Linked DNA regions of Macaca mulatta. The protein of the gene in region 3 interacts with the protein of the main gene of each other region in a pairwise test. Links are inferred from orthologs where the notes say so. Each region holds a gene or a part of one and is shown on either strand. Other genes may lie near its edges.

The links. The genes of interacting proteins can lie anywhere in the genome.
Region 1: the proteins of FHL3 (region 3) and FOSL2 interact in binary tests that used the Homo sapiens proteins (3 or more experiments, as listed by UniProt). The two-hybrid records come from large-scale screens. The link is inferred for Macaca mulatta from reciprocal best matches to the Homo sapiens genes FHL3 and FOSL2.
Region 2: the proteins of FHL3 (region 3) and ZNF512B interact in binary tests that used the Homo sapiens proteins (3 or more experiments, as listed by UniProt). The two-hybrid records come from large-scale screens. The link is inferred for Macaca mulatta from reciprocal best matches to the Homo sapiens genes FHL3 and ZNF512B.

What each region holds. Positions count from the first base shown.
Region 1 is NC_133418.1:96,585,628-96,589,367, reverse strand, and holds the start of FOSL2 (fos-related antigen 2), read left to right. Parts: upstream 1-1,130; 5' UTR 1,131-1,553; coding exon 1,554-1,655; intron 1,656-2,375; exon of another isoform or gene 2,376-2,545; intron 2,546-3,460; exon of another isoform or gene 3,461-3,598; intron 3,599-3,740.
Region 2 is NC_133415.1:116,852,472-116,856,211, forward strand, and holds the start of ZNF512B (zinc finger protein 512B), read right to left. Parts: upstream 2,675-3,740; 5' UTR 2,558-2,674; intron 2,398-2,557; exon of another isoform or gene 2,256-2,397; intron 1,981-2,255; exon of another isoform or gene 1,907-1,980; 5' UTR 1,753-1,906; intron 774-1,752; 5' UTR 772-773; coding exon 651-771; intron 343-650; coding exon 200-342; intron 1-199. UniProt on the Homo sapiens protein: Involved in transcriptional regulation by repressing gene expression. Associates with the nucleosome remodeling and histone deacetylase (NuRD) complex, which promotes transcriptional repression by histone deacetylation and nucleosome remodeling.
Region 3 is NC_133406.1:202,788,881-202,792,620, forward strand, and holds the start of FHL3 (four and a half LIM domains protein 3), read left to right. Parts: upstream 1-1,052; 5' UTR 1,053-1,239; intron 1,240-1,526; exon of another isoform or gene 1,527-1,869; coding exon of another isoform or gene 1,870-2,011; intron 2,012-3,740. UniProt on the Homo sapiens protein: Recruited by SOX15 to FOXK1 promoters where it acts as a transcriptional coactivator of FOXK1.

The DNA.
Region 1 (3,740 bases), on a different chromosome or scaffold from region 3:
GGGCACCCTGCGCGCCCCGGGCGCCCGCTGCACTCGGCGGCGCCGCGAAGGGCGCCTACGACCGCGCGCGGCCGCGCCCTCCCTGCGAGCGGCTCTGCGCGCCCAGCTCCCGGCCTCCCGGTGGCGCCGCACCGAACCGCCCGTCTCGCCGTCAGGGCTGTGATTATTTTCTAAAATCCGGAGTCGAGACCGCGCGGCCGCTCTCGGGGCCCCGCCCCGCGCCCCTTCCCGGGGCGGGGGAGAGGCCACAGCGCACTCGGGAGCGGGCGAGGGAATCCCTCTCCCTCCACGTCACCCGAAAGCGAGGAAACCCGCACTCGCGTCCTCTAACGCAAATGACCATCTTTGGCAACGTGCGCCAATGGAACAGACCAAGGGCGCTGGGCCCGGGGGGTGAGCGGGGGGCGGGGGAGGGCCGGGGCTGCCTCGGCGCCCCCCAACCGTGCGGGCCGCCCGCTCCCGCCCGGGCCACCGCCTGGCTTCCTCGCGCGGGGTGCGCGGCTGGCGTCAGCGCGGCCGGGAGCCGGGGCTGGGAGGGAAGAGCTGCGCCCGCCTCCTCCCCTCCTGCGCCTCTTCCTCCTCCGCGGCCTCCTCCCCCCCCGCCTCCTCGTGCGCTCCTCCCTGCAAGGTGGAGTCTGGGGTTGACGTGAGTGAATCCACATGGTACAGGGCTGGAGAATAAAGAGTGTGAGTTGAACTCGTGCCATTGTAGTGACTCATCTCGGGCAGAGCGCTAGGGCTTCGAGCGAACCAGCGAGCGAGCGAACGAGCGGCGCTCGGCGGGGACAGAAAGAGGGAGAGGGAGAGGCGCGGTCGGGCGAGGCGGGCCCGTCCGGGAGCGGGCGCCGGGGAAGGGGTGCAGGTCCGGGCGCCGGAGCGGGGAGCAGGGCCGCGTCCCTCTCAGCGCCAGCTCAGCTTGAGCCCCACGAGCCGCTGTCCCCCTGGCGCGCTCGGGGCCGCGGGACGGGCGCACGCCGCCTTCTCCCAGTCAAGTATCCGAGCCGCCCCGAAACTCCGGCGGCGAGTCGGCCACGGGAAGTTTATTCTCCGGCTCCTTTTCTGAAAGGAAGAAACAGAAGTTTCTCCCAGCGGACAGCTTTTCTTTCCGCCTTTTTGGCCCTGTCTGAAATCGGAGGGTCCCGGGGGCTGGCAGGCCAGGCTCTCTGGGCTCCTAGTCTTTTTAATTTCCAGTTTTTGATTGGGCCGTGGGTCCCGGCTGAGCTCCGGCTGCGCGCGGGGGCGGGAGGGCGCGCGCAGGGGAGGGACCGAGAGACGCGCCGACTTTTTAGAGGGAGGGACCGGGTGGACAACTGGTCCCGCGGCGTTCTCAGAGCCGGAAAGAAGTGCCGTAAGAGGCGCTCGGGGGACGCTGTTCCCGAGGTGTCGCCGCCTCCTTGTCCTCGCCCGCCGCGGTTGGGGAGAAACCCAGGAGCGAAACCCAGAGCCCGCGGCGCGGCCGGCGGACGAACGAGCGCGCAGCAGCCGGTGCGCGGCCGCGGCGAGGGCGGGGGAAGAAAAACACCCTGTTTCCCCTCCGGCCCCTACCGCGGATCATGTACCAGGATTATCCCGGGAACTTTGACACCTCGTCCCGGGGCAGCAGCGGCTCTCCTGCGCACGCCGAGTCGTACTCCAGCGGCGGCGGCGGCCAGCAGGTAGGTGCGGGCCCCGGTGCACCTGGCGGCGCGGGCGGACCCCTGCCCTCCTCTCGCCGCCACTGCCTCTTTTGCTTTCTTTTCCTTTTCTTAGCGAAAAAATACCTACGGGCCACCGTTGTTAAGTTCTGGATTTTCGTCCTCTCCTCCCCCACCACCCCCTTTTACATCAGGGGATTGGGGAGTGGGCTTGAAAAGACAACATGCCCTTTTCCTCCCACATTATATTTTACCCAGATAAACTCCTGGAATTGTAGGCCCCCTACCAGGAAGAGCCTGTTACCTCCTCCCATGAACTACTCCCCCTCCCCAGTGCCCGCCCCTCCTCGCCCCCCGCCCCGAGTCTTCTTTCTGGATGGTGGACAGACAAGAAAATCTTTGCACCCACTGGCACCTTTCGACATCCTGGGACCCTATTCTTTCAGGAAAGCCCTCTCTCTCTCCCCTCCTCGTTCTCCATCAGTCTTAGCTCCTTTCTGAAAGGGGTTGGGGATCCAGAAACATGGTTGGACTCCTTCAAGTAATCTGGAGCGAGGGCGAGGGCTGCCGCTCTGGGAATCAGGTGCGAAGGTCAGGAAGGAAGAAGCCAGCCTTGATTGGCTCATGCCGCCTGTGTGCCCAGTGCATGCCCGCCTGCCCGCCCGTCTTCTGTAAGGGTCGAGGACAGGAGGCTGCACTGCCCCGCAGGAACGAAGGAGCACCGTGAGGGTCTGGGGGTACCTGGAGCAAGGAGGCCGGCAGAGAGAAGAGGGGGTCGGGTGGGGGAAGAGACATCACACAGGCTCCTGGGTGGTTCTGGAAGCAGAAAACAACTTGTTTCTAAAGCAGCCGGACTGGTTTGCGGTGGAGGGATTGTGCGTGTGATCTCTGTGTTTATAAATACCAGGAAGGTACTGTTGTTGCGGGGCGGGGGGGGGGGGGTGCTGATGGCGTGCCTGCCCTCTGCTGCGGCTCCCCACCCGCTCTGTCTCAAGAGAGAGCTGGGTTAACGCAGGCCCAATACAACATGAAGCCCACGGTGGTCAGCATCTGTGGAGTCTAGCACAGTTGGCTGCAGCAAGGGATGCTCCATAAGGCGGTGGCCTTGGCCTCTAGAAGGGGCTGGGGTGGGCTTCCAGGGAGGGGTAGATTCAGCTGGAAAGTCTTATGGAACATGGCTCTCTTTTGGATCTGATGAGGGATCCCTTGTTCCAAAGTGATTCCCTATACCTGATGAGTCCCCAAAATGGCTTTTCTGCCTTCCCTCTGCCTCCCATGGTGCTCCTATAAGCACCCGCAGTAGAGACAGCCTGGTCTGTTCATTGAGGGTGCAGTCAATGCACCGTTCGTATTGAGCACCAAGGTGATGAGTTTTAAATCCGAAAAGTTACTGGTTATGTTTGCTTCCCAGCCCCGTTGGTGGTTTGTATTGAATGTAAACATCCTGAGGGAATAGGCTGAAGTCTGTACCCTCCGTCTCCCGTTCAACAAACCCCAAACGCCTGTCCTCCTCCCTGGAATCAGGAAGGGATCTTTTGATTTCTTCCCTGTTCTTTTCCCTAATGTGTCTTTGGCAGTTATCGTTGGAGTATTACAATCTCACTGCCTGGCTTAGCATAGACCCTGGGGCCTGCCGGGATGTCAGACCGGACATCATTGCCCCAACTGAATAATCTGTGTCACTAGGGCTTTGAGCCCAGGATGTGAGCGGAGGCAATTCCCGGTTTTGGAAGAAAATCAGACAGGAAACCAGTGCTAGGAAGAAGGAAGAGAACTCAGTCCAGCAGAGTGTAATAGGGCCTCATTACCGAAGCAAAAAGCAGCTGTTGGCTAATTCCTAGCATGCTGTAACACATGAGGATTTTGCAATTAGTAATAACCAGTGCACGGGGTTCTCACATAGACGCCTGCCCATTCGACCTGGCAGTGTGTGAGACGCCTTTCAAACCAGAGGGACTGGCAAGGTAATGCCACTTGAGACGAGGTTCTTGGCCTGTCCGCTCCTTGGTGTGGTCGTGGTTGGGTGGGGGACGAGGAGGAACGGGGTGGATTTTTCCGTCGTTGCTCCAACTGTGAACAAAATCGTTCTGTGGTCCTGAGGACTGA
Region 2 (3,740 bases), on a different chromosome or scaffold from region 3:
TGCACAAGACCTGCTCTAGGAGCCCAGAATCTCCCGGCACACCAGATATAAAGCCAGACCACATGAAGCCTGCCAGGCCAGTGCCCACACCTTGAGGCACAGAGTTGGTACCAGATGTGCAGAGGACAAATCAGGGCAGGGCAGTGGCTGGACAGGGAGACCCCAGCATGAGCCCCACCATGGCCCTGAGGGAGCTCACAGGAATGTCTCGGAGGGCCTGGTTCTCGGCTTTTGGCCGCCCCTTTTTCTTCCCTTCTGTCTTGTCGCTGGCTGGACTTCCTGGGTCAAAGCAGAGAGGGGCTTGGCCAGGCACTGTCTGTCCACCACGGACCACCGGCATCCCTGCAGCACATAACACAGCAAGGCTCGGAAGCTGTGTAGCACTGTCTACCACTGGGGGCTGCACAGGCCCACAGTGAGCGCCACTGTCCCAACACCAGGGCACCGGGAGCAGGGGCTGTGGCCAGCTGAGGACAAGAACCCAGGGCCCTGGGCGATGTCCAAGGCAACCCTTCCCCTGGTAAGGTCCTTGGGAACTCAAGGGGCCTAGCTGGGTACCTGGAGACAGGATGCCCGGGGCCGTGGCCCACTCCTACCCCTTGCTGCCCAGAACCATGCCCAGAATTGACTTTGGCCCTGACTCCTCTTACCCATCTTCGGTGGATCATGCAGCATTGGAAGTCGGACCTCCTTTCGACTGCCATCCTTCCCGGGACCACTCTTGCTGGACCCCGGGGGCCGACGGCCTCCAACGCAGAAAGGATCCGTCATCTCTGCGGAGCAAGTAGACAATCTGTGAGGCCTGACGGGCCCCACTCAGAACACGTGGTGAGGCTGCCCTGGAGCCCCGCCCTTGGCAGGTCCTCGCTGGTCAGGGAAGAGGGGCCTGCCCTCCTGTGGTTTTGTTCACGTGGGAAAAGCAAGTGATGGGGGGTTCTGACTTAGGGGAGGGGCTGCCAGCCAAGGTCTCCCCAGATAACCCAGGAGGCGTCATCAGTTTGGAAGGATCTAGTCCTGTCCTGAGACCCTCACCAGCTTCCAGATCCCCTTCCCAACACACAGCCCCATAGCTGCAGAGATGATGCTGGAGGTGATGCTGGGAGGGGTGTGCCCCCGGGAGAGGTGCCTTGTGCAGGAGGAAGGAGGCTGGCAACATTCCTCCAGGGGACAATTATGTCTCCGATGATGGCTGCTGGCTCACAAGCTGCCCGGGCCCAGCAGTGGGGGCACAGCTTCTCACTGGGGCCCTGGTACCCTCCCATGCAGACCTGATGCAATGCCAACCTACCCAGGCAGGTACCCTTGGAATCTTCTCTCCAGACACAGATGGAAAACAGCCAAGGTGGGCACTGAGGACCCCCAGCCCACTCCAGCCCTGCACCAGGCTTCTGTCTCTGTTCTGGCTGAGCTATCCCCCCTGACCCTCTTCACAGACTTGTCTGCGGGCCTGGCAGGCTGACCCGCCCCCAATCTCTCTCTGGAACTCTCAGTCCCCTGCCCACAGACCCATTACCACCACCTCAGCCAAACAAGTAGTGGAAGCACTAGCAGTGAAGGCCCAGGCTGCTGGCCAGAGAGAATGCCCTGCTGCCCAACGCTGGGCCCCCCCGAGGTCCTGTGCTGCTGGGAACCCCATCCTGAGAGCTGGGGAGCAGAGGAGACTCTGGGCTCAGCCCTGTGGAAAAGCCACGGAAAGAGGTGGGACAGGAAGCAGGGTGAGGGCTGGGTGGGCAGGTGGCCCCCTCCTGATACCTTCTAATTAACTTAGATCAGAGGGGATGGGAAGGGGCTGCTGTGTCCAGGAGGGCCAGAGAGCTGAGGTCAGAGGTCAGGACAGTCACTGCCCATTGCCAAGGGGGAGGCCAGTGTCCGGGCACAAAGTTCTCTGGAAGTCCTCACTTTGCAACTTTGAAAGGAGACAGGGTCCGCATGAGTCATCCCAGCACCTGACGACCCCGGTGGCCCCAATTTTTCTGAAGCCTGGGAGAAGAATTCAGAGTAGTGGGACCTGAGGCCAGGGCCGGCCTGGGAGGTAGAGACGCGACTGGCGCCCCGGGCGAGAAGGGGCTTCGGCCCTCCCGAGCCCAGCGGGCACACGGAGCCCTGGCGGGGAGAGGGGGCTCCGCCGCGCTGCGCGCAGGAGACGCCAGCAGCGGGTCCGCCGCGTAGGCCGTTCGGCCCGGGACCCCGGCCCAGGCTGGCGCGCGGGTGAGCGCGGCCAGGGACGCGCACCTGGGGCCAGCCTCGCCACCCACCTGTCACCTGGGGCCGGGAGCGGGCGCGGGCGCGGGGCGCGGGCCTCGGCCTGGCCGGGCAGGGCCGATCGCGGGCGCGGGGTGGGGGGGCGAAGGCAGTGAACCAAAATGGCGACTTTTTCTGGAGAAGGAGGAGGCAGGAAGACGGCGCCGGCGCGGGGCGCGGGGGCTCGGGCGCGGCGGGGGGCGGGGGGGCTCCGGGCCCGGCCCCCTCCTCGGCCTGCGCGCGGGGTCGAGATCCGGGGCGCGGTGGGCGCCGGGGCTGCGGCCAGATCGGGGCTGGGGCACGGCCGGGCGCTTACCTGCGGCGCCCAGCGGGGCTGCGGCCGGGCCGAGCCGGGCCGGGGTGGGGGGCGCGGGGCGCGGGGCGCGGGGCGGTGGGTCCGGGCGGCGCAGGCTGCGCGCCGCGCTGCGCACATGCGCGCTCCCGCCCCTCCCACCTTTGACAGTTTTACTGCGGGGGGGAGGGGGCGAACTCTCGCGTTATTCCCGCGGCCGCTCCGCGGCGGGGAGGGGGCGGGGAGGGGGCGGGGAGGGGGCCCGGCGCTGGCCTGTGGTCCCCCCCCCGCGGTTCCGCCCCCGTCGGCCGGGCCCGCAGTCCGGAGTAGCCAGTTCTGCCGTCCTGGGGCGCGGGGAGTTTTTTGGACAGTGGGGTAAACTGAGGCCCGATAGGGGCGCTGGGCACTGCCCGGAGTCCGGCGCGCACGGATTGAGGCGACCTGATTCCGCCGCATCCTGGCCCGCGCGGCGAGGGTGGTCTCTGGGCTCGAGTCCCTGACCTCTGGCCCTGGGGGCCGTGCACCGGCAAAGCAGGATTCAGCCTCTTTCCAGCCGGCCCTGAGACCACTTTTGCGACTGGCCCCTGGCGGTGCCTGGTGGCTTGAGGCCATGGAGCTTCACTGGGGTCACTGACCATTGGGTCAACCTTTCCCAGCTCTGGGGGCAGTGGTTCTGAACCAGTGCCAGGGCCTTCCCTGCCCCATATCCTGGGCTTCTGCAGGGGGCACTGGGGTCCGGTGTGGGCTGAGTGGTCTGGAGGCGACGGGGCACTGACACCACAGGACTTGAGAATTGAATGAGGCAGAGAAAGGTGTAGCTCTCCTAAAGAGGACGGAGGAGGCCCCACACGGGACTAGCACAGGACCCGCAAGAATCTCCCCCAGGAGAGTCCTGTCCTGTCCTGTCTGTCTGTCTGTCTGTCTGTCTGTCTGTCTTTCTTTCTCTTTTTCTTTCTTCTTTCTTTTTCTTTCTTTCTTTCCTTCCTTCGTTCTCTTCCTTCTCTTCCTTCCCTTCCCTCTCTTCCTTCCTTTTCTCCTTCCTTCCTTTTTCCTTCCCTCCCTTCTCTTCCCTCCCTCCCTTCTTCTTTCCTTCCCTCCCTCCCTCCCTTCCTTCTTCTTTCCTTCCCTCCCTCCCTCCCTTCCTTCTTCTTTCCTTCCTTCCTTCTCTTCTGTTCCCTCCCTCCCTTCCTCCCTTCCTTCCTTCTCT
Region 3 (3,740 bases):
CGCTGCACCCAGCCTGGGGTGTGGGGAGGCCTCTGTGGGCACCTGAATCTTCACTCTAGACGCTAAGGTTATTCCAGGGTTGCTTTGTTGTCTCTTGTTTCCACTAACAGCACAGTAGAGCCTCCTGCCTCCCTCCCTCCCCCACCCCTTCCAGACCGAGGCTATTTATTCCTAGTGACAAGCCTGAGGATCCCAGGGGGGGTGGCCTCAAGGACCTGGAGGGGCCTCGTGTCCCTAGCAGGCGCCAGTCCTCCCTCACGGACACAGGGAGGAAGCCAGAGGTTTAGACACTGCAGAGGTCCCCTCCCCTCTCCTCCACCACCCCTGCAGTGCCCCATCCTCTCACACTCCTCACACCCCACCCTAGAAGCCCAAAGATCATGGGGCCAAGGATTAGGGTCTCTCCTGGGCCTCAAAGGTCAAAACTATTCCTGGGCACTGCGGAAACCCAGGCAAGACAGGACTTCTCAGCGTCAGGAGGCCACTGGAGGTGGGGAGGTGGTTACCCCTGTTTTTGCTACTCAAAGTTGTGGAGTAAAACCCTTTGGAGGTCAAGGCCCTGTGGTGGGGAGGGGTCCTCTCTTCGCCCCATGTTTTCAGAGAACACATTGGTGCCCGCTGACAGGCTCATGACAGTAGAGTCAAAACCTCCTCCTCCAGGCTGGATTAAGGCCAGGTTGAGTGTCACCCCTAAGGGTAAGGTGAGGGGGTGGGGAAATCCGAGGAGGCCACAGGACTCTTCCCCAGTGGACCATGGTCTGTGGGGTCTGATGTCCCCGGCCTGAGATAGAATACAACAGTCTCCCTCTGGCAGCTGGGGACGGGGGGGGGGGGGGGGGGGGGGGGTGGGAGGGGAGGAGAGCAGAGGCTGCGGGGAGGGGACAGGGGCGGGGTCCCGGCCGCCTGAAGGTTGGGAGAGCCAGGTTAGGCCGGGCAGGAGGAGGGGGCCGGGCCCGCTGGCGGCCGAAAGGGAGGTGGGGGCGGGGTCTGGCCCCCGCAGCGGGCTGGGGGGCCGGGGGCGGGGTCCGGGCGGGGCGGGCCCGCGCTCACTTCCTCGGGGAGGGGTTGGGGCCGCGCTCCCACTCGCCCACACGGTCCGTCTGCAGTCGGCAGCCTAGCCGGCAGCTCGCTCGGCCCCCGCTTGGCCCGGCCCGCAGGTAGGAGCCGCCGAGGGACGCGGCGCCCGGTTCCCCGCCCCGCCCGCGCCGCGCGCTCCCCGCTCCCGCCGCCCGCTTCGAGGTGAGCGCCCCGCCGACCCCGGCTCCCAGCCCCGGCAGTCCGCCCCCGCGCCCAGGCCGGGGAGCGAAAGGACCCGCGGAGGGCTGAGGCCAGCCGCGGCCCCGGCCCCCTGTACCCGCCAGGCTCTGGCCACAGGTGCCCGGGGCACGCCGAGCCCGGGAGAGCGCCCGCCCGGACTAGACCCCTCCGGGCTGCCGGGCGGGGCGGGGCGGGGGCGGGGGTGGCAGCGAGAGTTGGGCGGGGGAGGGGGCTAAGTTTGAAATAGAAAAGCCGGATAGAGACAGACCGACCAGAAGCGCTGGAGAAACTGAGGTTCTCGCAGAGCCCAGTGGAGCGAGAGACCAAGACAGGCAGGGACTCGAGGCACAGGAGGAGGCTACCGAGACCATTGAAACAAGGACACACCGGGCGTACAGTGTTACCGGTGGACAGACCCGAGACATGGGGGCCGTCCCAGGCTTTCTGGAGCATTTTCAGAAAACATACGTGGGACCCCAGCGAACACATTCCCTGGGGCCCTTCCCCAGGCCTTGGAGGTGCCCTGAGGCTTGGGCGTCATTGGCCTCAGGCTGAATCTGCTCTCTGAGGCCTGCAGAGACACTCAGAGACTAGAGACAGAGACACTCAGGCATGCAGAGGTGGCGAAAGAGACTTGGATATAGAGACAGAGAAAGGGATGTGGTGGGGATTGAGACATTCAGCCATGTAGACAAGAAGAGACCAAGACTTGAGATCCACAGAGGCATGGGCCGCCGGGGGACAGCCAGTCAAGGTACAGAGTCGTCCAAAAGCTAAAGACAGAAGCTGTGTCCAGACACAGAGATGCTGAGTGAAGCAGAGACAGACACCGGAGACTGAGACTTAGTGGGGGCAGAGAGACCTAGGTGGGCTGACAGCTTCCAGGACAGCCCCTGACTTACCCAGACCTGAACCATTGGGAAGTGAGGCTCTGGGGAAACAGAAACTCTGAGCCCACCAATCCCCCATGGGGCAGAGGCCCTGAGACAGTAAGTTCGAGATCAAGAAGAACCCCGTGGACACACACAGCCACCAAGACAGCCCCAACTTATTTTTAAACTCAAATCTTGGACAGGCTGCCTCTGCCCTGGGGGACCCAGGGTGAATGAACTGTTCCTCTCCTGTCCCCAGAGCAGCTGCGGGATCCTGCTCCCCAGCCCCCTTCCCTAGACTTCTCTGACTTCCAGGTCCCATGGGGGAGAGCAGAGCTTGGGGTTGGTGCCCGGTAGCAGAGGGTGAGGGTTGAGGGAGTTGAATTTCTCCCCTTAAGTCTCCTGTCAGCTTCTAGAAGGTGGGGGAGGGGTCTGTTCTGATCCTGACTCACAGCTGTGGGACCTGGCCGGGGTCCTCCTGGATAGTGGGCATGTTGGGGGTGGGGGACAGAAGAGTTGAATGGTTGGCATGGGGCATTGGAAAGGCTTCTGGGTGCCTTCCAATCACAGGGCTGGCAGCTGGGGAGAAGAGCCAGGCTCTAGTGCATCTCCTGTCCCCCTGCCCTTAAAAGCTGATCATCCCCTTCATCACCAGGGCAGTATTTTTAGGGAGACAGAAGAGCTCTGGCCTGGGAGGCAGGGGACCTGGGTCCTGATAACTGAGTGACCTCGGGCATAAGCCTGCTCTATTCCTGCCTCCTTGTGCTCATCTGTAAAATGGGGATGATACTCTGTCCTGCCTGCCTTTTGTGAGATCTGATGAGATGGTGGTGGGCATGGACTTTGTGAGTGGCAAAGCAGCATGCAGGTGTCTACACCTGTGGACCTGTGTGGGAGATCTCAAGAGTTATGCTTACTAGAGTCAGGCTGACTGGGCTGGAGCAACCACTGCCCCCACTGGTGTCCTCAGCAAGCCCCATGGGCCTGGGGCCTCCTATTCTCTCCCTGGGCCTAGGCTGAGAATGTCCAGGTCAAATTTCAGACAAGGCTGGGCACAGTGGTTCACGCCTGTAATCCCAGCACTTTAGAAGGCTGAGGCCAGAGGATCACCAGGAGTTCAAGACCAGCCTGGACAACATAGTGAGAACCCCATCTCTACAAAAAACAGAAAAACCTAGCTGGGCATGGTGGCATGTGGCTGTAGTCCCAACTACTCAGGAGGCTGAGGCAGGTGGCTTGCTTGAGCCCAGAGTAGGTTTTTTTTGTTTTGTTTTGTTTTTTTGAGATAGAGTTTTGCTGTTGTAACCCAGGATGGAGTGTAATGACATGATCTTAGCTTACTGCAGCCTTCACTTTCTTGGTTCAAGCAATTCTCCTGCCTCAGCCTCCTGAGTAGCTGGGATTACAGGCGCCTGCCACCATGCCCAGTTAATTTTTGTATTTTTAGCAGAGGTGGGTTTTCGCCATGTTGGCCAGGCTGGTCTTGAACTCCTGACCTCAGGTGATCCACCTGCCTTAGCCTCCCAAAGTGCTGGGATTATAGGCATTAGCCACCTCACCTGGCTGAGCCCAGAAGTTTAAGGCTGCCGTAAGCCATGATCGTGCCACTGC